Rhinolophus ferrumequinum: one gene and its partner. The protein of the gene in region 1 purifies or fractionates together with the protein of each later gene. This does not show direct contact. Links are inferred from orthologs where the notes say so. Each region holds a gene or a part of one and is shown in the gene's direction. Other genes may lie near its edges.

Region 1 (15,073 bases):
AGCCCTCTCCCTGCCTGCCCACCCACCAGATGATGTTCCCTGTGTTCCTGGGTGAACGGGTGCCCCCTGAGACATTGGCATCTACTCTGGCTGAGCTGGACAGCTGCCTGCAGCTGCTTGAGGACAAGTTCTTGAAGGACCAGGACTTCCTTACGGGGCCCCATATCTCAGTGGCTGATTTGGTGGCTATCACAGAACTGATGCATGTGAGTACTGTGGGGTGGGGTGACCCACCGGGAAGTGGGGTGTCCTGGGAGGGAGCCAATGTACCATCTCATGTCTCCCTTTGTGGCTGTGGGACCCTGGATAAGTCTCTCCGCTGAGACTCAGTGTCCTCACCTGTAAAATGGGACTTCAGAGCCCCACCCTGCAGGGATATTGAGGAGCTTCTCAGTGTCTCCTGGGAGAGGACCCTCAGCTTATCAAATGTGGGGCAGAGGAGGGAAAATCCACCTGATAGATTCCTAAACCAGGTCATGCTACCTTGTGCTTAACCATGCCCAGCCCTACCACCTGGCTCCCTCTTCCGATAGCCCGTCAGTGCCGGCTGCCAAATCTTCAAAAGCCGACCCAAACTGGCCGCCTGGTACAAGCGTGTGGAGGCCGCAGTGGGGGAGGACCTCTTCCAGGAGGCCCATGCAGTTGTCATGAAGGCCAAAGACCTGCCCCCAGCAGACACTGCCATGAAGGAGATGCTAAAGCCCTTGGTGCAGGTTTTGTTGCGGTGATTAGGGGTGGGGCCTCTGCAGATCACCAAATGGAAACTGTTGTCAGAATAAAGAGATGGAGCTGCCTCTCTCCTAGGCCATGAGCAAGACACTCTGCACAGTCTCTGGTCCCCAGTTACTCCATGCAGCAAGCCTGCATTCCTTTTGTTTGTCTTCTCACTCTACTCCTGCCCTTTCCACTTCAACTTCCATGTGACCTCTGGACAGAGCTTTAGTAAACATGTATTTGACCCTATCTGTCCTCTTGAAACTTTCCGTCTTGCCTCACTGCCCTGAGGCTATAGTACAGGTCATTGAACTTTGCATCCAGGCAAAGCTCCCACCCCTCCAGGCTGCCCTCTTCTGGTTGCACCCATCACTTTCCAGCACCCCTCCCCGCCCCAACACACCCCAGCTTTCTCCTCAACCTCCTGGGCTTGGCTCATGCTGATTCCTTTGCTTACAGGGCCCCTCTTTACCTTCTTTGCCTGCTTTATCCCCCCACCCTCCATCTTTTGGCACTTGTCACTCTGCACTAGTGCTTCCCTCCCTCTGTCCTGGCAGGAAGCTGGTTCTCTGCCCCCTGGGCTGAGCAGGTGTCACAGATGGGGGTGACACTGTGAAGAGATGTTTGAGTTAGGAATGGCCTCCGTCTCTTGGGTCTCTGGAGTGACACTGTCTCCGAGTGGGGTTCAGGTTGGTGCATGAAACTTCTTGCAGTCAGGGAAGGTCCAGGTTATTTCCTGGCCCTCCAGGTGTTGCTGAGAAGCCTTGCTCTCCTAGGCCTACTTGTAACCTTGACCACTGTCGTCTCCATGCCCCATTCTGGGTTCTAGATTTTCCACCTGTCCTTGCTCTTTCCCTTCAGGACTGTCACAACCTACCTGTCTTGTGTACCAGATTCTCTGATATCTGAGTCATCCAATAAACTGGTAATGGGACAGGGTCATGAACAGACAGAGCCTCTTGGCCTACCTGCCTTCCCATGGAAGCTATTTAGTATGCACACTTACAAGATCTGACAATTAAGTTCATGAACTGGTTGCAATGATGTTGCTAACCTTTTTTGATATCAGAGGGATTATTCATTATGAATTTGTACCGACTGGACAGTTAAACCATGTTTACTATTTGGAAGTCCTGAAAAGGCTGCGTGAAAAAGTTAGATGACCTGAACTTTTCACCAACAATTCATGGCTCTTGCATCACGACAATGCACCACTCACATGGCACTGTCTGTGAGGGAGTTTTTAGCCAGTAAACAAATAACTGTATTGGAACACCCTTCCTACTCACCTCATCTGGCTACCAATGACTTCTTTCTTTATCCAAAGATAAAGGAAATATTGAAAGGAAGGCATTTTGATGACATTAAGGACATCAAGGATAATACTATGACAGTTCTGATGGCCATTTCAGAAAAAGAGTTCCAAAACTGCTTTGAAGGGTGGACTAGGAGCTGGCATCAGTGCATATCTTCCCAAGGGGAGTACTTCGAAGGTAACAATAGTGATATTCAGCAATGAGGTATGTAGCACTTTTTCTAGGATGAGTTGGTAAACTTAATTGACCGTGTAGAATTTTAGATGTGTAATTGAAATTGTCCATATACACCCACATAGTTTCAATTATATTTTCATTTACAAATCAGACAACTTCAAAACACTGATGAGAGTACCATGGTTAGTCATAACAAAAGATTTCCACGTTTTAAATAACACCTTTTGTTTTGCTTATGAAAATATAGGGTGCCATAAATATTGCTGATAATTGGACTGGGGACCTGGCTCCTGCCCTCTGGTGGACAGTTTCTCACTCTGAGGCAAGGTTGCTACAGGCAGAAGACAACACAAAGGATGATGTCTGATGTCCGCGGGGTCCAGGCAGGGATGCAGTAAACCGAGGATCTTTGCCCAGCCCCACGTGTCACACACTCGTGCTACCAGGTCTCCTGATCAAGAGAAGCACACGTTTTTATACTGAACCTGAAGTGGTGGCAACTCATTCAAAAAAATTTTAATTCTCTGACGATGTAACGTTATTAAGGTAGATCCTAGGGAGGGCCCCTACAGGTGTGTTTGCGTGTGAAGGGGGCGCTTTTCAGACCTCCATCTAAATTTGGGACAGGCAGCAGGAGACTACCACTTTGGAAAGCCACAGGAGACGGAAAACGTCGGACAGTGTGGCTGGATCGGAGGCGGGGCTGGTGCGGCCAGGGCTCAGCCAATGTCTCGTTAGGGGGTGGGGTTACACCGGGCTGGCGGGGCATTAGGACTTCCGGAAATCTGTGCCAGAGCACACGAAGGTTGTCTGCAGCGGTTGAGGGGTGCAGCCTAGGCAGCCAGTCAGTAGGTGCTGTGTGCCTGCACAGCCAATGAGGAGCTCGGTTTCCGCGGCGCCCCGCCCTTTTCCTTAATACCGGTCTTGGGAACACCGACCTGGTCTCCGCGGGTTTTTCCTCCGCTGCGGCACCTTAGCCATCTTTCCGCCGACATGCCGTTCGTTGAGCTGGACACGAACTTGCCTGCTGGCCGCGTGCCCGCGGGGCTGGAGAAGAGGCTCTGCGCGGCCACCGCCGCCATCCTGGCCAAACCCGAGGACGTGAGCGTGGGCCGGGGAGCACGCGGCTGGGGGAGGTTGATGGACCAGGGGTCCGGCTCTGTCCACGCCCCTACTTAACTACCAAGACCCCGACTCCTCCCAAGGGCCCCCGCCCACCACCCGCCAAACTGACCTTCCGCTCTCTATGATCTCTCAGTCCCACCCCCACCCCCACCCCCACCCGCTCGGTATTGCCTTCCCTAGCCATGACTCTGACGTGCCCTCCAAGGACCCCAGTCCATGCCCCTAACCCTGACCCTGCGGGGTCCGCGCGTCTTCGATCCCACGCTTTTGGGCCCTGAGCGTGAGCCTGGCCTGCATCAGCTTCTGGTGAAACTTTCGTGTCCCCTGCAGCGCGTGAACGTGACCGTGCGTCCTGGCCTGGCCATGGCGGTAAACGGCTCGGCCGAGCCTTGCGCACAGCTTCTTGTCTCCTCCATCGGTGTGGTGGGCACAGCGGAGGAGAACCGCGGCCACAGCGCCCGCTTCTTCGAGTTCCTCACCAAGGAGCTGAAACTGGACCAGGACCGGTGCGTAGAGGCAGGGAGAGGACACTCGAGGGATTTCTGCACGACCGGGGGCAGTGATCCTGTCTCAGGGTCCCTTCTAAGGTTGGGGCAAAAAGTAAATTCTTCACCTTGCCCAAGAAAGCTCTAGTGCCCTGGAGTCCCTTGACCCCTGAGGCCCCCTAGTGGTGGGTCCACCTTCAGACTGCTAGCAGAATTGAATGCAGTCCTGGCTATGTTGAGTGTGGTCCTGGGTGGGCCACGCTGCTGTACGGACACCATCCAGCCCCTGACATGCCTGCTGCCCTGTTGGGGGTTCTGGGGAAAACATTAATGGGGTGAGGCAGACTTGCAAAATGCCTGGTGGGCTAAGGCAGGCTGGTCTGGGAGCCCATGGTGGGAGTGCCTAGCCTATGAGTCTTGGAATGAGTCATTAGCCAAGGAGCTGATGACATCTTTTTCTGTCTCCTGAAGGATAGTTATCCGCTTTTTCCCCCTGGAGGCCTGGCAGATTGGCAAGAAGGGGACGGTCATGACCTTTTTGTGATTGGCACGGAGGATATCCAGGGCATCTGAGAGTTGGCCACCTCGTCCCGAGAGGCCTGCCTGGCAGAGTGAGGGCGTGGTGGATTCCAGTTTCTGGTACCCCCACATGCAGACAGGCCTGTGATCTCACAGTCCTCTTCTTCCCCATCCTCATGCCAAATAAATGAAAAGAGCTTTGTCTTTCAAACATGACTTCTTTATCTCCCTTTACCCCTCCAACGCATGCTGGGCTACCCTGGGGAGCAGGGTTGGTTTATGAGGTGGGGACCTTAGGGAACCTGGGAGGTGGGATGTTTCCTAACTTCAGGGCTGCTCTTTCATGTATCGTATTCAGGCTGCTCAAATCAGAGGGTGGAGGGCTCATGCTGAAGGCCCTGCTCTCCATTCCCATGTGCAGGCTTCTGGGGAGACGCTGACAGCCTGGGCTTTCCTGCAGACTCTGCTGACCAGATGTTGCTGTCCTCGGCCTGGGCAGTTCCCTGCCCATAGACTGCTTTGCCTGGCAGGGAAGCCAGGCGGGTTGGGCTTCAGGGACCTTCCCTGGCATTACCAAGCTCCATCTTCTCCCATGAGTCTTGTTGAGAATTCTCTAGCTATGTGAAACCCATGCCCCAGAATGGCAAACCTAGAAATGCAGTGTCTGCCACTGGAAACTGAATGAAAGGGATCTCCCTCCCCCATCGAAATACCATATCGTGCTTTCACATATCAGAGGATAAACATTGTATGGGCACTGTGTTTCACCCTTGTCTTTGGTGTACCAGTGAAATACCAAATTGAGATTTTTTTCAGTCTCATTTAAGTTAGTTTCCAATGGAAGGTGCCTCTGCCTGCTGTGTTTGGACCAGACCACTGCTGAGAACTCTCATTAAAAGCTAGGGCTTGGAGTTCCTTCCCCTGGCAACCTGTCCCAACTGTTTCTGCATTTATTCCTTCTGCCAACATGGGAGTCCTGCTTCCCTGAGGGGCTCCGAGAATGTGGGTTGAATGTGAATGAATAGTTAACGTGGCTAAAGAGGCACCTTTGACAGGACTATAAGGTAATAGCCTTCTAGCTGGTCTCTCCACCTTAAATCTATTACCACTCTGATGAGAATGATGTCATCGGTTGGCTGTGGGGACTGGCCCCTCCAGCATTATCTCTCCCCACTCTGACCCTGAGCTTTACACCCTGGTGACACGATGCTGCCTCCAGCCCCTGGGTAGCCTGCACTTTTTCTCACGTCCAAACCCTTGCCACACATCTTTCAAGGTACAACCTAGGAGTGGGACCTGCATCCAAGCCTGCATGTTATCCATGAAACTTTAAAATCATTTGTTTATGCTTTTGTTCACTGTCCCTGGCCCCCCAAGGCTATACTGTCAAAATCAAGGTTGATGACTCAATTATTTTGTAGTTTCTGGCATATCAGTGAAGCTTTATTGTATGGAGCTGACTCTATGAGTGCTTCACAGTGATTTTACCGTCGTTAAGGTCAAAGAGAAAGCTATAACATTCATTGCTATGTAAGCCATTCTTGCTGGACTCAAGTAGCTATGCATTTCAACCAGTGTGAAGCCCTTCTCTATAACTATTAGCTCCCAAGAGAGTAACCTCTCTCAGCCCGAGACCTTGTCAGAAACCCTTCAGAGTTGGGCTCTGGAATTCTGTCTCTCCAGCTCATTCATTTACCAGGTCTTGGTTTCTTTTCCCCTTTGTTTCAATAGTTGATGGTTATCTGTGCCTTTCGGGCTTCAAATCCTTATCAGAAAGAGGTGAGGCAAGGAATGTGAAGGGGAAGGGTCGTAACCGTTTCCCTCGTGTTTCCCAAGTTTCCGTTGCTTTCAGAGCACCTGCCTCCGGTTGTACCAACAACACGGCCCGTCATTTAGCGACCGTTCGGGGCCAGGCCCCGAGCTCGGCGCTTTCCAAGTAGTACAAGTGGTGGAGCCGAAAGTCCGATCGCAAGCTGGCGCTCCGAGCCACAACGACACAAGGAACGAAGCCTACACTCCGGAAAAGTCGCAACCCTACACCAGGCTGCTCCGGACCGCGTCGGACGCCTTCCGCAGGGTTTTTGGTAGCCGGCCAGCAGGAGAACGGCGCGTGCGCCCTCACTGATTGGCTGGCGGAGCCGGCACCGGAGCCAATGGGAGTGCTCCTTGTTGTTAGGCGCGCAGCCGGCTGGTGCGGGGGTCGGGGCGGACGGGCTGTTGCCGGGGAGACGCCTGGTGAATTCCCGGGCAACGGGTTTGGGAGAGGTCTTCGGTGTGGGGGCAGGTCTCTGCTAAGCCTAAGGCGGCAGCGGGGTCGCGGGCCTGAGGCCCTGCGGGCGCAGGGTCGAGGCTACTGTGGACGCAGGGGGTTTCTGGGTAGCTCCTGTGCTACAGTAGGGGAAACCGAGGCCGGAGAGCGGGAGCAACGAGGCCAGGCTTCCCGGCTGCCCCGCAGGCCTCTTCACGGCTTTTGCCGCCGCCCTGGGGTACCTAGGACCGGCTCCGGCCTCGTGAGTGGTTTACAGTGACAACAACTGGAGCTACCATTGATTCGGCGTTTGCCGGTGCGAAGCCCGGCGTAACCCTTGACTCGCGCGCGTCCTTTCACTTCACCTTCACTGCAGCCCTGCGAGGTGAGTGCTGTTATCAGCGTCATGTACAGGAATGGAAACTGAGGTCGAGAGAAGGTGAAGTGACTTGGCCAAAGTCCCCCAGCAAACCAGTGGGTCAGCCCGACTCCAGACTGAAAAATCTTAACTGCACTGTTTCCCTGGTGCAGCCTGGCCGGGCTAGATAGAGTTGACACTCGCAGTTGTCTGCACAAGTGGCTTTGTGGGAGCCACGTAATTCTTTGGGACCAGTGTTACTAGAGGTCGTAACCATGGGGCACTGGGATTCCGTGCGGCGAAAGGTTCCTTCTGTGTGTGATTAATAACTAGTTAGAACTAAAATATCCTTAGAGTGGTCTCGTTTGGAGTTGGCAAACTTTTGTTGTAAATATAAAAATATTTCTATCTGTCTATATAGATTTGCCTGTGGACATTTCATATAAAGGGGATCATACAATATGTGGTTTGTGACTGCTTTCTTAGTGTACTGTTTTCATGGTTTAATCCATGTTGTCAGTATTTTTATGGCTGAATAATATTCCATTGTATGGGTATACCACATTTTATTTATTCATCAGTTGATGGACATTTGATTTGTTTCCACTTTATGGTTTTTATGAATAATGCTGCTATGAGCATACCTTCATTTTAATTTTAGTAGTATATTGCTTCATTGTGTGCATGTACCATAATTTATTCATCCACTCTACTATCTATAGCCATTTAGGTTTTTCCCAATATCTTGCAATTACAAACAATGCTGCAGTGAATAACCCTGTGCATACGTATTTTCCTGTTGTTGGAGGTAAATCTTCAGGGTAGATTTCTGAGAAGTGGAAATGCTGGGCAATTGCATATGTAATTTTGCCTGTCGTCGAATTTCCCTGCGGAAGGGGTTGTACCAAGCTGCATTCCCATCCACAATGTATAACAATAGTTCCTGTTTCCCCACAACCTCACCAACAGAGTGTGCTGTGGTACTTTCATTTTTGCCAGTGATAGGTGACAAATGGTGTTTCAGTGCTGTTTTCATTTGCATTTCTCTAATTATAAGTGAGTTTGAACATATTTTCATATGTTTGAGAGCCAGTGTGTGTCTTTTTTGGTAAATTGCTCGTATGTTTTCCCCATTTTTCTATCAGGTTTTTCTTTTTCTGCCCTCAGGGTTTTTTTTTTTTTTTTTTTTTTTTTAAATTCTGGTAAAATACACTTTACATGAAATGTACCATTTAAGCTATATTTACATTAATGTACCTTTCCATGGCACTAAGTACATCCACATTGTTGGCAGCCATCCCCACCATTCATCTCCAGAACTTTTTCTCATTTTCCCAAACTAAAACTCTGTACCCATTAAACAATAACTCTCCATTCTTCCCTCTCCCAGTCCTTGGCAACCACCATTCTACTTTCTGTCTCTGGATTTGCCTATACTAGGTGTCTCATATAAATGGAATCATATAGTATTTGTCCTTTTGTGTCTGACTTGTTTCACTTCGCATAATGTGTTCAAGGTTCATCCGTGTTGTAGCATGTGTTGAAATGTCTTTCTTTTTTAAGGCTGAATAATATTCCATTGTATATACACACCACATTTTGTTTATCCATTCATCTGTCAAAGGACACTTGGATTGCTTCCATATTTTGGCTATTGTGAATAATGCTGTGTCCCTCAGTTTTTAAGAGCTCTTTATATATTAGGAATATTAGTTCTTTGTGGTGTATGTTGCCAATATTTTCTTCCAACATATCAGTTGTCTTTTGACTCCTTTTGGATTTTTAAGAAAAATTTTTAAATTTTCCAGTTTTATTGAGATATAATTGACATATAGCAAGCACTGTATAAGTTTAAGGTGTCTAGCATAGTTATTTGACTTACATATATTGTGAAATGATTATCACAATAAACTTAGTTAACATGCATCATATATAGATTCAAAAAACTACTTTCCTTGTGATGAGAAGTCTTAGGATCTACTCTTTTAGTGACTTTCAAATATACCATACAACAGTGTTAGCTGTAGTTATCATGTTGTACATTAATTACACCCCTAGTACGTATTTATCTTACAACTAGAAGTTTGTATCTTTTGACTACCTTCGTCCAATTTCTTCTCTCCCATTCCCATCTCTGGTAACCACAAATCTGATCTCTTTTTCTATGAGTTTTTTTTTTTTTTTCGTTTTTGTTTTTGTTGGTTTCACGTATAAGTGAGATCATACAGTATTTGTGTTTCTCTGTCTGACTTATTTCACTTAGGATAATGTCCTCAAGGTTCATCCATGTTGTTGCAAATGCCAGGATTTATTTTTTATGGCTAAATAATATTCCATTGTATATCTGTACTTTGTCCATTCATCTGTTGATGGACACTTTGGTCTTGGCTGTTATAGGTAATGCTGCTACGAACCTGGGGGCACAGATATCTCTTCGATACAGTGTTTTTGTTTCCTTAGGATATATTCCAAGTAGAGGAATAGTTGGTTTATATGATCTGTTTTTAATTTTCTGAGGAACCTCCATACTGTGTTCCATTGTAGCTGTACCAATTTACAATCCCACCAACAGTGACAAGCATTCCCTTTTCTCCACATTCTTGCCAGCACTTGTTATCGCTTGTCTTTTTGATGCTAGCTATTCTAATAGGCGTGAGGTGATACCACATTGTGGTTTTGATTTGCATTTCTCTAAAGATTAGTGATGTTGAGTACCTTTTTAATGTCATTTACATATTTTGGTCATTCACATATTTTCTTTGGTAAAATGTGGATTCACGTTCTTTGTCCATTTTTAATTGGATTATTTTTTTTTGGTTATTGAGTTTGTATGATTTGCTTATTGATTTTGGATAGTAAACCTTATCAGATAAATGGTTTGAGGATATTTTTTCCCCGTTTTATAGATTGTCTTTTCATTTTGTTGTTCATTTCTTTTGCTGTGCAGAAGCTTTTTAGTTTGATGTAGTCCCACTGGTTTATTTTTGTTTTTGTGTGTGATTTTTTTTTCCTGTCATGCAAAATTTAAAACATTTTTAATGTAGTTAAGTTTGTCAATCCTTTCTTTTACTGCCTCTGGATTTTAAATCATAGTGAGAAAGCCTTTCGCTATACAATAAAGAGGAATTCAACCATGTTTTCGGCTAGTACTTGTATGGTTTCATCTTTTTCATTTCGATCCTTACTCCACTTGGAGATTATTTATGTATATGGTCTGAGGTATCAATCTAATTTTATCATTTCCAAATGGCTACCAATTTGTCCCAGCAACGCTTGTTACAAAGTTCATCTTGACCTCAGTGATTTGAGATGCCACCTTTGCCATATTTTAAATTTCCATATGTACTCGGGTCTAATTCTAGACGTGCTTTCTTTATGTACGTACCAGTTCCACTGTTTTAATTATTAAGGCTTTATATAGTATGCCTTAATGTCTGGTAGGACTCATCCCTTCTTGGAACTTTTCTTTTCCACTGTTTTCCTAGCTATGCTTACATTTTTGTTTTTCCGTATAAACTGTAGTGTCAGCTTATCTGGTATCTTGGTATTTTTACTGGAATTGCATTGAATTTATAAATTAATGTAGGGAGAACTGACATCTTTATAATGTTGAGTTCTGTCCAAGAACAGAGGATGTGTTTCCATTTGTTCAAGTTTACTTTTGTGTCTTTTGGTAGTGTTTTAAAATTTTCTATGCATAGGTTCCACATTTCTTGTTCACTTTATTAACTTTATTCTTAAGTATTTAATCATCTTGTTGCTATAGCGAATGGAATTTTTTCTTTACCATAATGTCTTCTGTTTGAGTATGTGAAGGCTATTGATTTTTGTATGTTAATTTTATATCATGCTACTTCATTGAGTTCGTTTAGTATTAAGTTTTATCATTGATTTTGGGGTTTTATATTATCTGCATTTAATAATAGTTTTACTTCTTCTTTACCCATTCTATACTTCTAATTGGTTTTCCTTTTTTAATTGCATTTTGAATACTCCTAATACAGTGGTATATAGTAGCAGACGTAATGGGTATCCTTGCTTTGTTCCTGTTGTTAATGGAAATGCCTGTAGCGTTTCTCCATTATATAAGATTTTGACTTTAGAACTAAGATCTATCATCTATCTATCTATCTATCTATCTATCTATCTATCTATCTATCTATCTATCTAATCTATCTAATTATGTTAAGAAACTATCTCTCAATTCCTGTATTCTTGTGTGTGTGTGTGTTCTTTTTCCTCATGAATGAATGTTGAATTTTGTCAAAGGCTTTCTCTTCTATGGAGGTAATCATATGATTTTTCTCCCTTAGATGATGTCATTGTATTTCACACATGCGATATGTGTGTTTTCATTGTTAGCATTTCTTTAAATTTCTCCAATGTTAGTTGCATTTCCTTTCACCCAGAAGTTGTTTAATAGGAGGTTCTTAATATTTTGGCTAGAAGGACCAAATTGTTGTTGGTAATGGTGGTGTTAGTAAATTTTAGTTTTAATGTATTGTGACCTGAGAGTGTTGTTTTTAGTATTTTTACTTTATAGAAGGTGTTTTCTTTGTGACCTAATATATGATCTTTTTTGTTGTTGCTATTTTGGTGAATGTGCTGTGAGCACTGGAAAGGAATATGTAGTCTCCATTATCAGGGTGTAGAATTTGATAAGCACCTATAAGAGCTCCTCTATTCACTTTATTGTTTAGATCTTCTATCTTCTAACTTTTTTCTCCACTTGATCTGCCTTGTACTGAGAGTGATGAATGAAAGTCTCTTATTATTAGTTTGTATTTATGCATCTCCTGTGGTTTTTGCTTTTTAAAGTGGGTTGCTGTGTTATTTGGTGTATGTTTTTAAGTGTTATATCATCAATGTGAATTGTACCTTTTGTCACAGTTAATATATTTGGACTTGAATTGTACTTTGTCTGATATCCAGATTGCTCCCCTGCACTTTTAAAAAAAAGTATTTATTTTTGTTAAAATATTTTTATATTTATTACATTTAATTCAATAAGTTAAATTTTTATTTGACCTCTTATTTTGGGAATGTACAGCTCTCTGACTTTTTAGCACATTTATAGAAGTGTGTAACCTTCACTACATGAGGATACAAAACAGTTCCATCACCCTCAAAATGTACCCCTTTATAGACACCCTTCTCTTACCACTGGCTGGCAGTGACATGGTCTTCGTTACTATAGTTTTGTCTTTTCAGGAATGTCATGTAAATGGAATCACACAATATGCAACCTGTGGATACTGGCTTCTTTCACTCAGCATAATGCATTTGAGATTCATCCAAGTATCATTTGTGTCTTTTAATTTGTAGTAGCGTTCCATTGTATAAGTAGTATTCTTACTGAGCAGTATTCCGTTGTATGCTCTATCACAGCAGTTTGTCCATTCACATATTGTAGGATGTTTGGGTTGTTTCCAGTTTTTGGTGATTTGAATGTAGCTGCTAGAAATATTTATGTACAGGTTTTGTGTCAACATTTCTCAAGGTAAATAGGAGTGAGATTGCTGTGTCGTGTGGTAAGTGTGTGTTTAACTTTATAAGAAATTGTTTTCCAGCATGGCTGTATACCATTTTCCATTTCTGTCAATGGTGTATGAAAGCTCTTGTTGCTCTGTGTCCTCACTGGGACTTGGCATTATCAGGTTTTCAAAAAATTTGGCCATTCTAGTAGGTGTGTAGTAGTAGCTCATCATGATTTTAATTCATATTTCTTTCATGACTAATGATGTGGAACATCTTTGAATGTACTTATTTGCAATCTGTCTTCTTTGGTGATGAATCTTTTAAAGTCTTTTGCTCATTCTTTAATTGGTATTTTTAAAAATTATGTAACATAATTATGTAACATAAAATTTACCATTTCAACCATTGAGGATCAGACGTTTTTTCCCCCTTTTTTTTAAGGAGGGCGCAGCCTACAGTTGTCCCTATGGGGATCGAACTGGCAACCTTGGTGTTATCAGCACCACGCTCTAACAAACTGAGTTAACAGGCCACCCCCATTTCAACCATTGAAAATGTACAATTCAGTAGCATTAAATAAATTCAGAATGTTGCATAACCATCACCAGTATCTGCTTCCAGAAGAATTTTCATCATCTCAAACAGAAACTGTACCCCTTAGGCAATAACTCCAGAGTCCTCTCTTCTCCCAGCTCCTAGCAACCATCATTATACTTTCTGTCTCTGTGAATTTGCCTGTTGTTAAGTACCTAACATAAATGGAATCATACAGTATTTGTCCTTTTGTGACTTGTTTATTTCACTTAGTATAATATCCTGCAGGTTCATCCATGTTGTAGCATGTGTCAGAATGTCCTTCCTTTTTAAGGCTGAATAATATTCCATTGTATGAATATACCATATTTTATTTATCCACTTACCCATCTATGGACACTTGGGTTGCTTCCATCTTTGACTATTGTGAATAGTGCTGCCGTGAGCATGGGTGTACAAATATCTCTGAGTCCCTATTTTCATTTCTTCCAGGTATGTCCCTAGGAGTGGAATTGCTGGATCATATGGCAATTCTATGTTTAACTTTTTGAGAACCACCAAGCTGTTTTCCACAGTGGCTGTGCCATTTTACATTCCCATCAGCAAGTATACCAGGGTTCTAGTTTCTCTACTTCCTTGCCAACACTTATTATTTTCCTTTTTTTTTTTTTTTTTTTTGATAATAGCCATCCTAGTAGGTATGAAGTGTTATCTCTTGGTTTTGATTTGCATGTCCCACTGACTAATAATGTTGAGCATCTTTCTTGTACTTATAAGCATTTGTATTATCTTTGGAGAAATGTCTTTGGAAGTCCTTTGTCCATTTTTTAATTGAGTTGTCATTGTTGAGTTGTAGGAGTTCTTTATGTATTTTGGATATTAATCTCTTATCAGATATATGATTTACAAATATTTTCTTTTATTCTGCGGATTGCCTTCTCTTGATAGTATCCTTTGCATAAAAATTTTTAATTTTCATGAAGTCCAATTTATTTTTTCTTTTGTTGGCTGTGCTTTTTGTGTCATTCTTAAGAAACCACTGCCAAATCCAAGATCCTAAAGATTTTCCCCTGTTTTCTAAGAATTGCTTTTTTCTTGCTGCTTTCAAGATTCTCTCTTTGTCTTTGGGTTTCAGTAGTTGGACAATAATATGTCTTAGTGTGGATCTATTTGGAGTTTGTTGAGCTTCTTGGATGTGTATGTTCATCTTTCTATTGGATTTGAGAAAATTTTTGCTATTATTTTTCAAATAAATTTTCTGCCTCTTTCTCTTCATCTTCTGAGACTCTTATGATGTGTATGTTGGTCCTTTAGATATTGTCTCCCATGTCTCTCAAGCTCTGTTCATTTTTCTTCATTCTTTTTTTCTTTCTGTTCCTTAGACTGTATAATTTCAATTGCCTTATCTTCAAGTTTGCTGATCGTTTCTTCCGCCTGCTCAAAACTGTTGTTGAACCTTTCTAGTGAATTTTTCGGATTTATTTATTTATTAAATATTTTATTTTTTTATTCCCAAAGACTTTTTATAACTATAGCCAATTAATACCAACATATTTCACTTCTAGTAGTCTTGTATTTTCCTAATAAAAATATTACCCTCCCCCACTTTTCACACAATGCTCAAATAGATAGAGACATTAACTTTCAGAAGGACTTCTGTGCGCATGTAAATATTGAGACATTAAAATATCCTAGATTGATAGAGTCACTTTTTAAATTAAAATTTATTGGGGTGGCAATGGTTAGTAAAATTACATAGGTTTCAAGTGTACAATTTTGTAATACATCGTCTATATATTACATTGTGTGTTCACCACCCAGAGTTCTCCTTCCATCACCATACATTTGACCCTTTTTACTCTCTTCTACCACCTACCTCCCCCCATGAATTTTTCATTTCACTTATTGTACTTTTCAGCTCCAGAATTTCCCTTTGATTCCTTTTTATAATTTCTGTCTCTTACTTGATATTCTCATTTTGTTCTTACATTGTTTTCCTGATTTCCTTTAGTACTTTATCCATGTTTTCCTTTAGGTGATTAAACATGTGAAGAACAGTTTTTGAATTAACATTTTTTTGAGCAGTAATTCCAATGTCTGGGCTTCTCAGGGATGTTTT
Region 2 (15,958 bases), on another chromosome or scaffold:
GTTAGGAAGGTCTGGTCCTGTCTTCCTAACAGTGGGATGTAGCACAATTTGTTAGATGTTTTGGCAGAGGAAGGGAGAGGAAACATTAGATTTCTAAAAGACTGAAACTACCATTGATCTTAAGGAACAAGCCTTTTTAATAAAGGCCCTTCCTAATGTAAAACAGCCCATCTTTTTTCCTTCTGCATAAGTAATATGTCAGTTTTGAAACTGAACATCTCTGACCGTATGCTATATTCCTCAGGAATACAGGAACAGCCTCCCTGGGTCAGACCCTGTCCACCGAGGTCAGGACCCAGTCACCAGAGGTGCCTCCACCCCAGGATGTGCCGAGAGCACATGGCCCTCTCCCTGACATCAAGCATTGAAGGTGAGGTAGAGTCCAACTTTTTCTGCAGCCACTGATGGCTTTGCCCTTCACGAAGTAGTTCTCATCCCTAAAAAGTCCACTTGCATTTCCTGTCTAAATCACCTCTTAAATGTGTTTCATAAACTATTTCTTCTACTCACTTCTCCTTGTCGAAATATCTGAGAATTTATGAACAAGTCAGTGTTTCTCTCCTTAAGGCCATTCATTATTTCGTAAGTTCTGATTGTGCTTCTTTTGGTCTTTGCTTTTTCACATTAAAGAGTCCTACTCCTTTGTCTGACTTGGTCCCCTTTCGCAGTCTTGACTAGTTCCACCAGACCCCTTTGGGATCACAGACTAGACTGCGCATGTGCTCCTGAAGAGGCACACTATAGTTTTTACACAAAGGTGGAATGACGTAAAAAAAAGAAAAAAGAAGAAAAACAAGAGGGAAGAGTGTATTGTTTTGTGTTCAAAGCCTTTTTGACCAAAAGGCTTTGGCTGATGTCCTTAGGAACCTCTAACTCTCAGGTGCCTTTCTTTTCACACACAGATTCTCTCTCTCATGGGTAGTCTGTGTCTCTCTCACATTTTCCTTACTGAAAGCTACCTGCTTACCAGCTTTTTTTCCTCTTATAACAGATCTATACCCTAACCTAATGTTTGCCGAACACCTGCTGTACACCAAACCACACTATGAGTAAGTGACGCTACTTCGTAACTACAAAGTTAGGAGTATTATTCCCACATGTGGACGAGGATACACGTCCTAGAAAGGTGAAAGAACTTGCCCAAATAAGAAAGCAGGTGGAAGTGGTACCTGAATGCATGTTAGGCTGGTACAAATCCAGAGATCTTTACCCAAAGTAACTGCTACCCAACAATCTGGAGATTTTACCTTCAGATAATATAAAGATACTAAATAAAAACTGCCTTAACACTGATCAGTAAGAACCATTCTCCCTTCAGAGAAGTAGACCCTTACCCTTTGCTCCCTTTCAGCGCGTCAGCTGCCTAGCCAACATAAGCATAGTGACTTAGTGTTTAAATAGCCTTTTACGTGGAACTCTACCAAGAAAATTAAAAAGGCTTAAAGACGTCATATCTAGTAGTTGCCCTGTACCCACTTGCTTATGAATTCCCTCAAAAACACTTTAATTAGAAATCACATCATCACGACCCCCAACACCAGCAGGTTCCTTTTGTGTTCAGGAAGTGCATCCTTTTCACTGGCTTCATCTGGGTGACTGGTTGAGCTCTGATATTCACTCAACTCCAATTTTCTCTGTCTGCACTATTTCTTATACACAGGGACCCAGTTTATTTTTCTAACGTTTCAGCACTTTTTAAAAATTATCATTAGAACACAATGGCTTTCAGGACTGTTGTAATCTGATTAAGGCCCCACTTTCTATGAGTTCCCATTTCTGTTTCAGAATTGGTTAGCTAAACGAGGAAGTACACAAGTTAGGCCAACCATACTGTCTTATTCCTAAGCACAAATTCTTCACCCCAAGCAAGGAATCTCTATCCACACATCCAACTCAACGCCCAGCTGTTCCAGCTGCTTATAGTATCCCCACTGCCCGGAATGCCACTACTGGTCCAAATTCTATCCATCCCCAGAGTTTGATTCCAATTCCATCTCTTACATTAGCTTTTGACCTGCTGTTTTCCACTGATCCCTCTTTGTTCTAGAGCCCTTTAACAAATTACCCGCATCACTCATTCTGCACTTAATCCCATCTGAAATATTTATGTCTTTATCACCTGAGTTCCTGGAAGACGGGGCACCACAACATTCGCTTTCCTGAAGTTCCCTTCGGTGTCAAGCAATGCGGAGTGTGGTTGCAAAATCAGCACTTGTTTTATGCATCGGGACAATCTTTCTTGTGAAATCCATGGCATACCAGAACATTCCCTCTTCCAGAGTGTCTCTGGCTCTCACAGCTCCAGGATAGTGACTCCTTTGAGATACTGCCATCAAAAGGCTGCTAAGTTGGCTTGTGACAGAGAACTGGGCCTGGGTATATCAGTACATCTGTATGGGGCTAGGCAAACTCTAAACCAAGATGAGTAAGCACCCTGACACATAAACTCCTGAGTGAGTGAAGAACAGTTTATGAGATTTTCCTATGGATATTATATATCACTTTCTAGGAATGTGTATTTTAACTATTGGTATTAGCTTTATCAGAAAAGTCACATTTTCCTAACCCAAAATTACATTTTCCTGTAAGAATCATAAACAGAAATACAACTACTTAAAGAAATCAAACCATCTAGCTAGAACTAGGTAATCAACTTGATGTAGTGATGGGAACGCGAAACAAATCATCAGAATCTCAAGCAAATACCTTCTTCCCCACACTGTGATTTCTTATATGGCCTATCAAAGAATCTCATATTAACGATTCTGATTTCAACTCTAGGACAGGGCTAGCTAAATGTTACAACATTAAAGCAAGTCATTTAGTTTCCCAAAAGAAAACAGATTAAACAATTACTTTTATTAAGGTAAATAAAATTTTAGTTTTCACTGTCTAGCTCATGCATGAGCCACACTGATAAACAGCCATTAAATGGGAAACCAAATTGGTCCTATAGGAGGAACTGCCTATGGAGTTGGCAAGAGAGGTGTGAGAAACTCTCAATGTGATTATTATATTTAGAAGGTGGTGAGCCCTAGTTCTCACCTGACTGACACTGTTATTGGCCCCAGGACAATTTCTGCAAGGTAAGAATAGCACCTTTTCTTTAGGTATGAAGCCAGAATGATGCCATTTTATAGACTACCTAGTAGGACTGAACTAGGGTCCACAGAATACTCTCAGAGCAGCTCAGACCCAGGCCAATGCCTAAACAAAGGGAAAGCGAAACTCTTGGTGAGCACTACTCACTGATCCTCTGTTCCAAAAAACTTCACAAAGAAGCACTTCTTTCCACGAGGTTTCTTCAAGTCCTTGGGTGGATTAACAATCTGGGGGATAAAAGGGAAAAAAAGGTTTTTTCCCACCATTCTAAGTTGGTAAGAAAAAAAAAATCAAATAAAACAAAAGAAATGTCTTAAAAAGAAAAAAACCGAGCGCCTAGTATGTATCCAAATTTGGCACTTTTCTACTGAGATGTGTGGAGATGTACAAATATTCCAAAGTTCTCTACATCTAACATGTGGCACATCGTTCAGTAGATACGGTATTCCTTTACTGCAATGCCCCTGTTTTAAAAGCAGTTAAAACTAAGACAAATATCATCCCCTCATCCCATGTGACCCTGTCATCACTGAAGAAATGTAGAGGACACTTTTAAAAATACTTCTGTGAAGGAAGAGTTGAGACAGGTAATAGTGACAAGGAAAGGCAACTGAAGCACTGAAAATACCATATTGCAAGGAGACAGTCTAAAGACATTTCCTGGGCTCCTAGCAAGAATATAAAAACAGAACATTTGGAAAGCTATGACGGATCGCCTCATGCAAAATTTGAAATGCCAACTTCTGCAAAGATGCACTGGAGCAGCACATATGGTAACATAGAAGATTTAAACTTAGTTGGGACAAAAATACTTTGACTTTTCACTAGTCTACATTTAGATTTCTATCTTCCTGGAGAATTTATTTTCTTCTCCTTTCGTTAGATTTAAGTGTAAAGCTAAATTCAAATTAGAATTGATTTCCAGGGTTAAAAACCTCCACAAAACCATCTCTGATTCAAGAAATAAGCATTTAATGAAGATTAAGTGATCTGGTTTATATTATATTGCCTTTTCTAAATGAACTGATGTTCCAGAAGAAAAAATTCTGTTACTTAAAATAGGCAGTTTAACTCAATGCTAGAAATTGAAGGGAATGCATCTTACATTCTCCACCTGTTCAAACCCAACTTCAGATGTCTTCCTTTAGTTCAGTAGCAAGAGACTCACCTTTCCTGGCCAAGGAGGATACCTGCCGAGTTTCCCCCTAGAGAAAACACAGAGAGTCAGCACTTGCCCTGGAAAAGCCAGTCCATCTTCTTCAACCCACTCAACATGCAATTTATTTTCCTAAATCTCCACTTGCATCCTCAAGTGCCAGAACAAAAGCTGGCACACAGGAGTTCTTAATCTGGCTTCCCCAGTTGGACTCAACAGGCCCAAACTCCTCAGAAATGGAATGCAAAATTGTATACCTATGTGCATAAAGTATGTACATTCTTCTGGTGACAAGGGATACAGAACAACAAAACCGCCAAGAGCCACTTGTCTAGAGCCTCCCCGTGACGGGGGTGGGGGCCAGTTTGCTCTGTAAACACAGACTTCCCCTTACAAAGTCTGGTTTAATTCACCGCGAGACCAGCTGGCTTTGCCAAATGCTAATGGAAGCCTTCCTCTGGGTCGAGAAATAAGCTACGCAGCTCGACCGAGGCGGCGACAGTCAGTCTTGGTTCGGGCGGTTGTCTGGGACACAGAAGAAGACCACAAGAGGCACCCAAAACGGCACTGATCACTGCCAAGCCTTCGGTTGTAAAGAAGAAGTCTCCTCTCCATTTCTTCACCGGGCAGCGCCATCAGTCCGGTTTCGACACCCTTGGCCAAGCCGCCCGCAGAGTTCGGTTCCATTGCAACGCTGGTTTTAACGGGCTTGCCGGGGCGAGATGGCCTTGAGGGCTCCCCCGCTTTACAGGGAACCCCAGCAAGACCCCGAGGAACCCGCACCGCGGGTGGCTCCAGAAATGCCCCTCACAGTAGCCGTCGGCGTCCGGGTCCGGAGCTCAGCTCTCTCCCGGGCGGCCTCGGAGCCCGGCCCGCCGCGGCCACCCTCGGCCTCAGTCCCCCGGGGCAGGGCTGCCCCTTCCGCCCGGCGTCGCTCCCAGCACCGGCACCTCGTCTCGCCCTCTCTCCGCGGCCTGGAGCGCCCAGAAAGGCAGCTCCGGGGCTGTCCGCCAACCCCGCGCCCAAAGGAGCAGTTTCCCGTCGCACCTCGCTTGGCCCCGGACGCCCGGACTCACCACACCAAATCGCCGAGCCGCAGACTCACAGCCGCCATCTTACCACCCAACCACCACCGACGCACAGGCCGCCGGGAACTTCAGGTCGCCCCGGCGCCGCCCATTGGGTTGAGTCCGGCCACGTGACGGGGGCCGGCTGTCATCGGCCACGCCGCTGCTCTGACGTCGCCACGCCCGCCGGTGCTTATTGGCCGGCTAGGCGGCACGTGACGCGGGAGCCGCGGTCTCCGCGCGCTGGAGCCGAAAGACTCCCGGCTCCTTTCCCCTCCCTTCGGCTCGTGACAACGAAGCGCCCGGGATCTGAGGCGGCGGCGACGGCGGCTGTGCGGCCGGTCCAGCGCGCAAAGGAGCCGACCCTGCGACCCGCCCCGCCTCCGGACCCTGGTCTCCATTCCCCTCCCCCACGGCGCTTCCGTTACGGCCGTTAGTCCCGCGCGGGCCCCGGGGCCGGCCGCGTCGCCTCGCGGGCAGCTACCCTGACGGACCTCGGCGCGGCCTGGAAGCCAGCCTCCGCCCGTGCCCGGGGCCCCGCACCCGGGGTCCCGCGCCCGGCGGGCTCTGCGTGGCCGCGCCCGGGGGCGAACGGGTCCTTCAGAGCGCGCTTTTTGCCAGCTGCGTCCGGGGAGCGGCTCCGAGCCGGAGCCCGTGTCCGCGCTTCAAGTTCTCCCGGGGCGCCAGTGCAGCCCGCCTCGAGGTTCCGAGTTGATCGGCCGACGTGGAGCCAGAGTCTCTCCACTTCCTCCTGGGCCGGCAGACGGCACGGCCAGCGAGGCTCCCCCGGGCCCGCGGGGACCCAGCCATGGGCCGCGGCGCGGGTTGGCCGCCCGCCGGGAGGCATGGCTCCGGGACCGGCCGCTAGCAGCGCCGCAGCCCGGGCTCCCGGGCCGGCATGAGGACGGTCGCGGGGGGACAAGTGCGGCCCGCGGGGCCGTAGCTTGCGTCGCGCTGGGGACAAAGGTGCGTGTCTTTGTCGGGACCGGGCTCTCACTTAAGCCGAGTTGTAGTTTGACACTTTTGGAGAAGTTAGGAGCAGGTTGTTGTGACAACAGGGAGGCGGATGCCAGGCGTAGTTTCAATACGTGAAAACAAGCCGTTGAATGAGGAACTAGGAACCGTTCACAGAGACTGCCCAAACGTCAGATTCCTGCTAGAAAATAAACATTTTCAAAAAGTCCCATTCCCAATTACAGACCTCAAGGACTCTTAAGTCAAGTGTTGACTTAACTTAGACTGGACTTTTCTTGAGTCGCCGCCTGCTTGAAAAGATTGCAGGTCCACACACATCTATCTCCCTTAGGCGTTTTGTTACACGGAGACTTTGGTTGTATGTGGGATATTTTTGTTTTTGTTTTAGCGAACTGGCTTGTCCACAGCTGGTTTTTCACTGGAATTCAGTTTCCCTAAAGTACTGTCAGTTTTAGGAACTGTCATTTACCGTCTTGAATTGTTTCAAAGACCAACCGATAATTTAAAGCACATTTGTGATTCCAGGAAATAATTTCATAAAATTCAACATATGTTTCTGATTTTAAAACTCTTAAATTTTGAGGATTGAGGGTTATTTTAATGACTTGATAAAAAATGTGAATTTTAAATTAACTTCACACTTGGCCTAGAGGCATTCCCGTTACAGTCAGGAACATGGCAAAGAATATATTGTCTAATATTATCCTGTAAGTTCTAGCCAATGCAGTAAGACCTGAAACAAAAACGAGACACCATTTTTCAGAAAGGAGACAAAATTCTCATTTCTGTGGATGATAGGACAGCCTATTTTGAAAAAAAGCCTATTTTGAAATTCAGTAAAGAAACTAATTAGAAACTCAGCATACAAAATTCAGTTTTTCTATGTTTCACCAATAATTAGCTTGAAAATACAGTAATTGAGAGGACGTTCAACAAAAAAATATATCATTCCTGGGAATAATCTGAGATACAAAAAGAAGCTAGCATTTCTTGGGTAATATCAATTGAGGGTTTTTAAAAGGGATGTTGTTTGTAGAATACTGTGCTTAGAATAAGGTTTAACTCCTTAAAGGTGAGTACAGGCATACCTCGCTTTATTGCACTTAACTTTGTTGCCCTTCACAGATGTTGCGTTTTTTACAAATTGAAGGCAAGACCCTCCACCAGCAAAAAGATTACGACTTGCTTTATTGCGGTTGTCTGGAACGGAACCTGCAGTATCTCTGAGGTATGCCTGTATTTAAATACTTAGGTTTTCTTTTTTTCAATAATTTTTTTTTTTTTTAATATTGGGGAACTGTATTTTTCCAGGGCCCATCAGCTGCAAGTCAAGTCGTTGTTCTTCAGTCAAGTTGTGGAGGGCGCAGGTCAGCTCCAAGTCCAGTCGCTGTTTTCAATCTTTAGTTGCAGGGGCACAGCTCACCATTCCTCTGTGGGAATTGAACTGGCAACCTTGTTAAGAGCTCCTGCTCTAACCAACTGAGCCATCAGGGCGCCCCCTTAGGTTTTCTTAAGGCTTTAAATTTTGCTGACAAATCTTGTTTCATTTACAAATCTAAGAATGTTTTTGTAAAAACAGAAGTACTTCATCTTTGACAGAGCTTCAATTAAGGCACCAGTTTAACAGATTAAATTTTCCTAAACAATAAGCTTTTTATTACAAAGTTAAATTCCCTTAAATGTGTTAAATTGCATTTGAAGTTTTAAATGCTTGTTCTCTCTAATACTTCAAACTTCTAAAACAGGGAACTTATAAACCAAATAGTAAAATCTTTCCAAGGACTTAGCTTTTGTAAGGCTAATAAATGTATAATGGTAAGATTCTTTTAAAAGAATATTTTTGAACCTAGTTATATTTTCTTAAGGATTTCAAATTAAAATTGTAAGTCTGACGTCAGACATTAATATGTCTGAATCTCTTAAACGTTTCTAATGGCCTAGTAACAAGCAATAGCAGTTATCACGATGACTAAAAATCTAAAAGGCTATAGGTTTGACTTACATGATTCTCTAGTATTATATCTATAACTTCTCAGGCCTGCAAAGTCACTTAAACAACTAAGGGAAGCAGTTTTACTATCTAGGTGGATTGAAGTTACAATGTCTAAAATTTGGGCCAGGTCGTTTCTTGGCCTTTTGGCTAAGATCAAGTGTAAAATTTGGGCCAGGATAAGGGTATATTTTAAAATTACTGCCTGGATTGGGGCAGGAACCTGGTTGTCACTTCTAGGATGACCTTCCTGTATCCCATCGGTTACTTGCAGATTCTCTTTTTATAGTGAGACTTTGCCTGTCTTATCGATGAGGGTAACTTTCAAGCCTTCAACCTTTAGCTGAAATTTATTTTCACAACCCAAGTGTATCACAAATGTCCTGGGGGCCTCGAAAGTTTCCTTTAGAGGAATTTCTTTCAACGTCTTAATGCCCGATGGTCTTTTGCACCACCAACCTGTTTTGCTGCTAATCACTTTGCTGCCTCATTAGCATTATTTTAACTATTTTTAGATATTTTACTCCTTTGTCTGGTATTATAGATCACAGTTTATCGTCACAATGGAAAGAATGAGAATTGCGTGTACTATATAAATATCTTTATATATGTATGGGAATATATGATATAAATCTTTTTGAATTCATATTTATGATTCATTTACAGTTAAAATGCAGTGAGTTTTTTGGGAACTTGTCAAACTGATTCTAAAATTGATCTGAAATAATAAATAGGCTGGAATAGCCAAGTATTTTAAAAGAAGAAGAATAAAGATGAATGTTAAAATCAAGATGTTAAAATATACCATAAAATTTCTTAAAACAATATGGTACTGGTTAAGGAATGTTTAGCTACTACATCAATATGATAGGATGGATTTCAGAAATAGACCTTAACTCTCACTGTGTTAATTGATTTCAAGGTTTTTTTCCCCAAAATGTGTCAAAAATCCACAAAAAATAAAAAGTTGATATTTTGACTATTTTATGCATTTAATAACATTTTGAGCTGCTTTGTACATAAATGACATTTTTATTTTAAACATTTATTATGTGGTGATAAATTTATCATTACCTTTAATTTTAGCAAAAACCACTCAAAGCATACTAAGTGGTATCAATTAGATATAAGTATAGATATATTAGAATCTAATGGCATTGATGACATAAAAATTTATTACAAAATGTTACACAATATGGCATACAAAACATCTTTGTTGTTGATAGTGCAAGCCACAGGAAAACACATCCGAATGTCACAGCAAAAGAGTTAAGATATCTGAGACGTTATACATAGTATATACCAAATCAGCAGGGCAAAGAAGAATTATTTAGTGACTGGTGCTGGGAAGAAACCAAGTTAGAGCCTTACCTCTCTCCTTATAAGCAGAGTAAATTCAACGTGAAAGTTAGATCTATAAAAGACTGGCTAGGTAAATTCTTACATACGAATTACCTGGTTGGAGAAGGACAGTTTAGGCACAAAAGAAATGGGAGAAATTATAAGGGAAAAGAGCCTAGTTTACTGCATAAAAAGTTAAAATTTCTTTCATCATACCTCTGAGCAAACTTAAACAGAAAATAACAATGAAGAAAATGCATTTGTAAGAGATATGACAAATGTTACATAGGTAATATATATTATATATCTACAATATATCAGAAGCCCTTAAAAATGAACAAAAAAGACTTAATTTTTTTCAACCATTTCCTTAATGCTGGACATTCAGGTTGCTTTTATCATTTTTCCTATACAAACAAGGATGCAATGAATATCCTTTTTGAAGCCATATGATAAGTGCACAGCATGATGGATTTTCACAAACTCAGTACACTCATGCAACCTTTACCTCATGCAGACTTTACCTGCTAAGACATTCACACTAGAATGTCAGTTTCAAAAAGCAGGACACAAATCATACATGAAGCACAAAATACATATGCATGTGTATATGTAGTATATTCGCATATTTATATTCTGTAAACCCTTGGAATTCTGGAGTTTACAATATAAGCTGACCATTTCCAAGCAACTTTGAAGGTCTTTGGCATGTGATAATTTGTCGCTTGGTCGAGGCCCAAGTTTGCGTGGTGAGAGGCTGGTGCATTAGGAAGTGAGCCCTAGCCACGTCACTCCTAAGACAATGCCCAGGGTAGGCATTACTCTGAGCTGGTGAAAACTTTGTCATTCTGAAGAATGGCCCTGAATGAAAGTAAACTTCTAGTGAAGAAAATAAGGAGGTCTTAAAAAAGAGGTCATAATTCTTAGCTAGAAAATAAAAACGATTGGATAGATTAAATGAAAAACAGTATTTTCTAGGGTTCTGTGCAATTTTGAGGATTCTTTAAGGGTCTGTCAGCATGGGTTCTCTAATGTCAAGGATTTAGTGAATATGGAAAAAGACTGGAAGGAAGTATGCTAAACAGTGATTATCTGAAAGGATTTGGGTGCTTTTCATTTATATATGTATATATGGCAAGGTAAATTGAACAATGGATTCTTATTGACACTGAAATTCTTTTAAACTTAAATCTGTATAACCGAACGAGAAAAATGATCATTTTTATCATCTTGGTTTGACCTGGCCCTTCTTTTCAATGTTAACAGAAGCCATGCAGTGACACCTGCTAAGACTTGTTGGTAGCCATGTCGGAGCCCCACAGGGTCCAGTTCACCTCTCTACCAGGTTCTCTGAATCCTGCATTTTTGAAGAAATCCCGGAAAGAGGAGGTTGGGGGAGCAGAGCAGCATCAGGACTCTGAGCCTGCTGCAGCAGCTGTTCGGATTACACTCACCCTCTTTGAGCCAGATCACAAACGCTGCCCAGAGTTCTTCTACCCAGAGCTGGTGAAGAACATACGCGGGAAGGTGAAAGGCCTTCAACCCGGAGACAAGGTACCCCCCAGTGGCTCCAGACTCCCTGCAGGTGTAATCTTAGGCACCTGTGCAAATGGGACTTCCGGAGGGTGGAAACAAGACTAGAGAGGCTTTGGCTGTCCCACGATCACAGCACCCAGCCCAAAGCAAGCACCAGGTTTGCTGGTTTTACCTCTGGGCATGAAGAGATAAAATTCTTTCTAGAACCATTCTCCTGATTTATGCTGGAGAAAATGTATGGTGTATCCAAGGCTAATTTGAATTATGGTTAATTAAATGAAAGAAACAATTTTTTTTTTACACCAAGGCTACAAATATTACAGGTAAATGTGAACAGTCTGTGGCTGTCCAGTGCTGGATTTCATGCTGGACATTTTTCTTTTCCAAGGGACTCTCACTTTGCCTCGTGTAAGGGTAGATGAGAAAAGACACATAACTGCTCATGTCTTCTCAACACAGTAATACACTGGATAGTTTCTTTACCTGGAGGGATAGAAACCCATTTTTGTGGGGTTTTTCCAAGTTACTTTTTTTTTTTTGGCAAGAATTAGGTTGTAGTCTTCTGGGCTTTTGAGAATCAGTTTGATTTCTCAAATGTTTTTTAAATAGTCTATTTATTTTCCTGGCAGATTTATATTACTTTTTATTTTTAGTATGGCACTTCTCAAACATGCACAAAGTAGAGAGGATAGTATAATAAGTCCCATATACCCATCACCCCGCTTCAACTATTACTGATGTTTTGGCCAGTCATTAACATTAAAAAATTTGTATAAAGTTTTTATTGAATTACATACATAAAAGAAGTGCCCACATGATAAATGCACAGCTTGATGGATTTTCACAAACTCAGCACACTCATGCAACCTTTACCCTGGATCACAAAATACATTTTCCAGGCCATGAGAAACTTTCCTCATGCCTTCCCAAAATACTACTCTGCCCTGAAGGGTAACAATTGGCCTGATTTCTAACCGCTTACATTAGTTTTGCATGTTCTTGTATTTTATTTAGATGGAATCATACAGTATGAGCAGGAGCTAGGTGAAGAGTATTTATAAGCGCCTACTGTATACCTGTTCACTAGACGAGGCTTCGAGGGAAGGTTAGTTGAGTCCCACACTACAGCATTTCATTCTCTAGAATGGCTCTTAGTCAAATGAGGGTTAGGCTAGTACCTGGCTCACAGGCTGTCAGGGTGGATGAGCTCATATAGGTACAGTTTGTAGTGGAGTGTCGGTGGCCAGTGCACCTTTAGTCTAATTCATGATTGTGCTGTTTGAGGAGAGTGCCTTTGGTTAGAAGGATTATCCAGTTTTCTTTGCTCAGATAAAAATGTGTTTCCTTGATTAAGATCTTGTTGGCTGAATGGAAGCCAACTGAATCTGTACCAAGGGTTAACCTGTTGTATGATGTCAGTGGACAGGATGAGAAAATGTAATTTCAAATGTATTGATAATCCCTTTTCCAAAGTAGGGATAACATCGTCTTCCTTGAGAGGAGGAGACAGTAGCAGGGTTTGGTTAAGGTATTTATTTGGGGGCTCAAACCAGATCAGTAGGCCAAATGAAATTGGAACTCTCGTGCTCCGATTTCACCTTTTTGGGGGACTCCAGATGTTCTTCCGCATTGTAGAAAAATGCATGTAGCACACACAGAGAACTTTGGATTCAGTTTCAGGGGATTCACTCCTTCAGATTGAGAACTTCTGAATCGATGTGTTTATTCTGTAGTGTTCAAAGCACAATGTAATCTGACACATTCATGTATTCATTCATTTAGCATATATTTCTTATGATGTGAAGGCACTGCTAGATGCTGAGGACTATATAAAGGTAGAGAAGCTGCTGTCCCAGCCTTAAAGGAACTTGCAATCTTGTAGATGTTTTAGGAGAATTATACCAACACAGTAACAGGAGTCACAATGTGGTAATTGTTTAAGTCGGATATAAGTGCAAGCCCTGGAGAGCTTGGACAGAGGAGAGCTTATAACCCAGATACGGTGTTTGGACAGAGCTGGACCTTCATACGTTCAGGAGGTAGTAGTTACGGGAATACTGCTGTTTATAAGGCACTAAGGAGTACACATCAAATCCAGTGCTGCTCCAGATTAGTGGGATTTCTTAAAATTATTTGAACCACTTAAAGTTATATGTGATCATTGTAGAAAAATTAGAAGATGCAGATAAGCACATGTTTTAAAAACCACCCATTTGTGGTACATTATATGTATGTTCTCTAATATCTCATTCTACATATATTATACCCTGAATCATTTAACTGATCCCTAATGGGTGAGTGGGGTTTCAGTAGGCAGAGATGAGAGGGTGGGATAAGAGAGTTTTGTTTTCAAACAAGACTCTAATCTTTAGTGTTTTTGGCCTACTCTGAAGTCTTAAGCGTGTTTAGTACAGGAGTCTTTCATTATTAAAATTAAAATTTCTTGCAAAGAAGTTCAAGGTCCAATTCTGGAAAATCTTCATGGAAAAAATGCAAGAGTAAGTTTATGGAATAGAAATAAGCTGTAAAACTGCATGAAAATATTTGGAATGAGTATTGAGGTTCAGAGAAAAGAGGAAATTCCTGATCCTTCAAGATAAGTGTCCAAGGAAAGGGACTGCCATGAACCTGGGTTTGATTTTTGGTAGCACTGAGAGAAGAACAAATTCATACCACTCTTCTAACCAGTTAGACAAAATAGCTTTCACAAATTTGTGCTACATTCAGTGGGTTCTTAACCTTTTTGAGCCACTGACTGCTTTGGAAGTCTTGTGAAGCCTTTCTTAGAAGAATGTTTTTAAATGCATAAAATAAGTTTTAGGGTGACGAAGGAAACCAGCTACATTAAAACCCAAGTCTATACAGGTTGAGCATCCCCGACTGAAGGCCCTTTGCCATATTTGGAGCCTGACAGGACTTAGTGCTATAATAGGCAATTGTAGGTCTTCAATCAAGTTTTGTTGAATTACATGAATGGAAACTTTTCTTTCTTAAACAACGAAGGTAAACACCGATGAGAAGGTAGCATGTATTTCTACCTTGTCTTTTCTGAAAACAGTTGTGTTTATTATGTACTTTATGGTGTTGAGTAGTCAGTGAGTGTACTATGAATAGGGTTATGGAAATTTTTTGTGACTCCTATTTTGTGGAATGGTCTCTTTACAGAAGAAAGATCTCTCGGATCCTTTCAACGATGAAGAAAAGGAAAGGCATAAAGTGGAAGCCCTTGCCCGGAAATTTGAAGAAAAATATGTAAGGTTTCTCTCTTGGGCAATAAAACAACGTCGTTGGGTGGGAAAGGTTTTTTAGACATTTCAGCATTCCTTGAGTGGATTATCATCTAGTCCACACTGATGTGGAAACAAGTGTAGAGCTGGGAGAGAACAAAATGCTGTTATTAAGCAAATGCATGAAGGTACAGAAAATGCAAGTGGCAAGACTAGTGTGGATCTAAATGGACGGGTGAACAAGAAGGGCCTTTTTCCCCAAGAATTTACCCTTAGAATAAATGTTTTGATAGAAAGCATACGAAGCCATTTAGCTTCTCCTTCTGTCTTCGGTCATTTTATGCAAATACAAGTCTGTCCTATTTTGAAAGATGTTTAGGGAAGGAGACCTTTGGGGGGTGTGTGTGAAAATGACTTGCAGCGCTTTGCAGCCTTTAGTCACTAGCTGGTGGAGTTCAAGGCAACAGTTCTGTGTATTAAAAAAAGCATGTGACCTTAGACTTAAAAATTTGTTAAGAGGATAGATCTCATGTTATGAGTTCTTATCACAATTACAAAAAAAAGCATATGACCTATTCTAAATTTTAGGGTGGAAAGAAACGTAGAAAAGACCGAGTACAGGACTTGGTTGATATGGGGTATGGTTACGATGAATCTGATTCTTTCATCGATAACTCCGAGGCGGTAAGTACTTAATGAAAGTGCCCCATGGGAATCACCACACTCTAGTTGCTGCTGGTGACGGCCCAGAGGCTGGGGGTTGGTTCAGAGTGGGCCTGCCCTCAGTATGAGGGAGAGAGGAGGTGACTCCCTGATCTGGGGCTTGGGTCCCTCACTGAAAAGGATGACCAGATCTGTCCAAAACACCTTCTGGGCATTCATGATTGACCAGAGGCATGCGGTTTGAAAATTGACAGAGAGACATAGTCCCATCTGCTCTGTGCAGACCTGAGCTGCATCTTTGGACTGGGATACTGGAACTCGGAGCTGACTGTCTGCTTCCCCCTTTCAGTATGATGAGCTTGTTCCTGCTTCTTTGACCACAAAGTATGGAGGGTTTTACATTAACTCGGGAACCCTTCAGTTCAGACAAGCATCAGAATCTGAGGATGACTTCATTAAAGAAAAGAAGAAAAAATCTCCAAAGGTTAGAATGGCGCTCACTTTTGGATTTCAGAAATGCTTTTTTATGAACCTCATGAGACCAGTAGGTGACTTGCCAGAATATGTGCCTGTTTAGGATGGCCCAGGAGATTGGCGGAAAGGCATGAGCTGTGCCAAGTGGACAGTTCACGTCTCGGACCCGTGGCGAGGTGCCCTGAGTCCCACAGGCTCGGCTGGGATTCATTTCTCAAGGTGGTCTCAGGGTGGAGACAAGGGCAGTGAGGGAAGGCTATGAAGTGTGGGGAGTCTGCACCGACCTTGCTGTGTCTCTTCTGTGGACATGTAGAGGACTTCAGTTCCCAGGGCCATCACCCCAATAAAAACAAGTTAGCATTAAGATAAGTTTACTTTGAAATCTGTCTACCACTGCCTGTGTATTTAAAATGAGAGGCAGGGCCCA

Evidence for each region.
Region 2: the proteins of CABIN1 (region 1) and UBN1 purify together in Homo sapiens (affinity purification with western blotting; 6 studies listed by BioGRID, with this or other methods). This does not show direct contact. The link is inferred for Rhinolophus ferrumequinum from reciprocal best matches to the Homo sapiens genes CABIN1 and UBN1.

Annotation. Positions count from the first base shown.
Region 1 is NC_046308.1:22,508,083-22,523,155, reverse strand, and holds the start of CABIN1 (calcineurin-binding protein cabin-1), read left to right. Parts: upstream 1-6,528; 5' UTR 6,529-6,969; intron 6,970-15,073. Other genes in the region: glutathione S-transferase theta-3, read left to right, coding at 30-206, 534-728; DDT (D-dopachrome decarboxylase), read left to right, coding at 3,201-3,308, 3,663-3,838, 4,289-4,361. UniProt on the Homo sapiens protein: May be required for replication-independent chromatin assembly. May serve as a negative regulator of T-cell receptor (TCR) signaling via inhibition of calcineurin. Inhibition of activated calcineurin is dependent on both PKC and calcium signals.
Region 2 is NW_022680357.1:5,958,659-5,974,616, forward strand, and holds the start of UBN1 (ubinuclein-1), read left to right. Parts: upstream 1-7,466; 5' UTR 7,467-7,528; intron 7,529-10,897; 5' UTR 10,898-10,936; coding exon 10,937-11,185; intron 11,186-14,332; coding exon 14,333-14,419; intron 14,420-14,982; coding exon 14,983-15,078; intron 15,079-15,406; coding exon 15,407-15,541; intron 15,542-15,958. Other genes in the region: GLYR1 (cytokine-like nuclear factor N-PAC), read right to left, coding at 3,250-3,329, 4,271-4,307, 5,335-5,372. UniProt on the Homo sapiens protein: Acts as a novel regulator of senescence. Involved in the formation of senescence-associated heterochromatin foci (SAHF), which represses expression of proliferation-promoting genes. Binds to proliferation-promoting genes.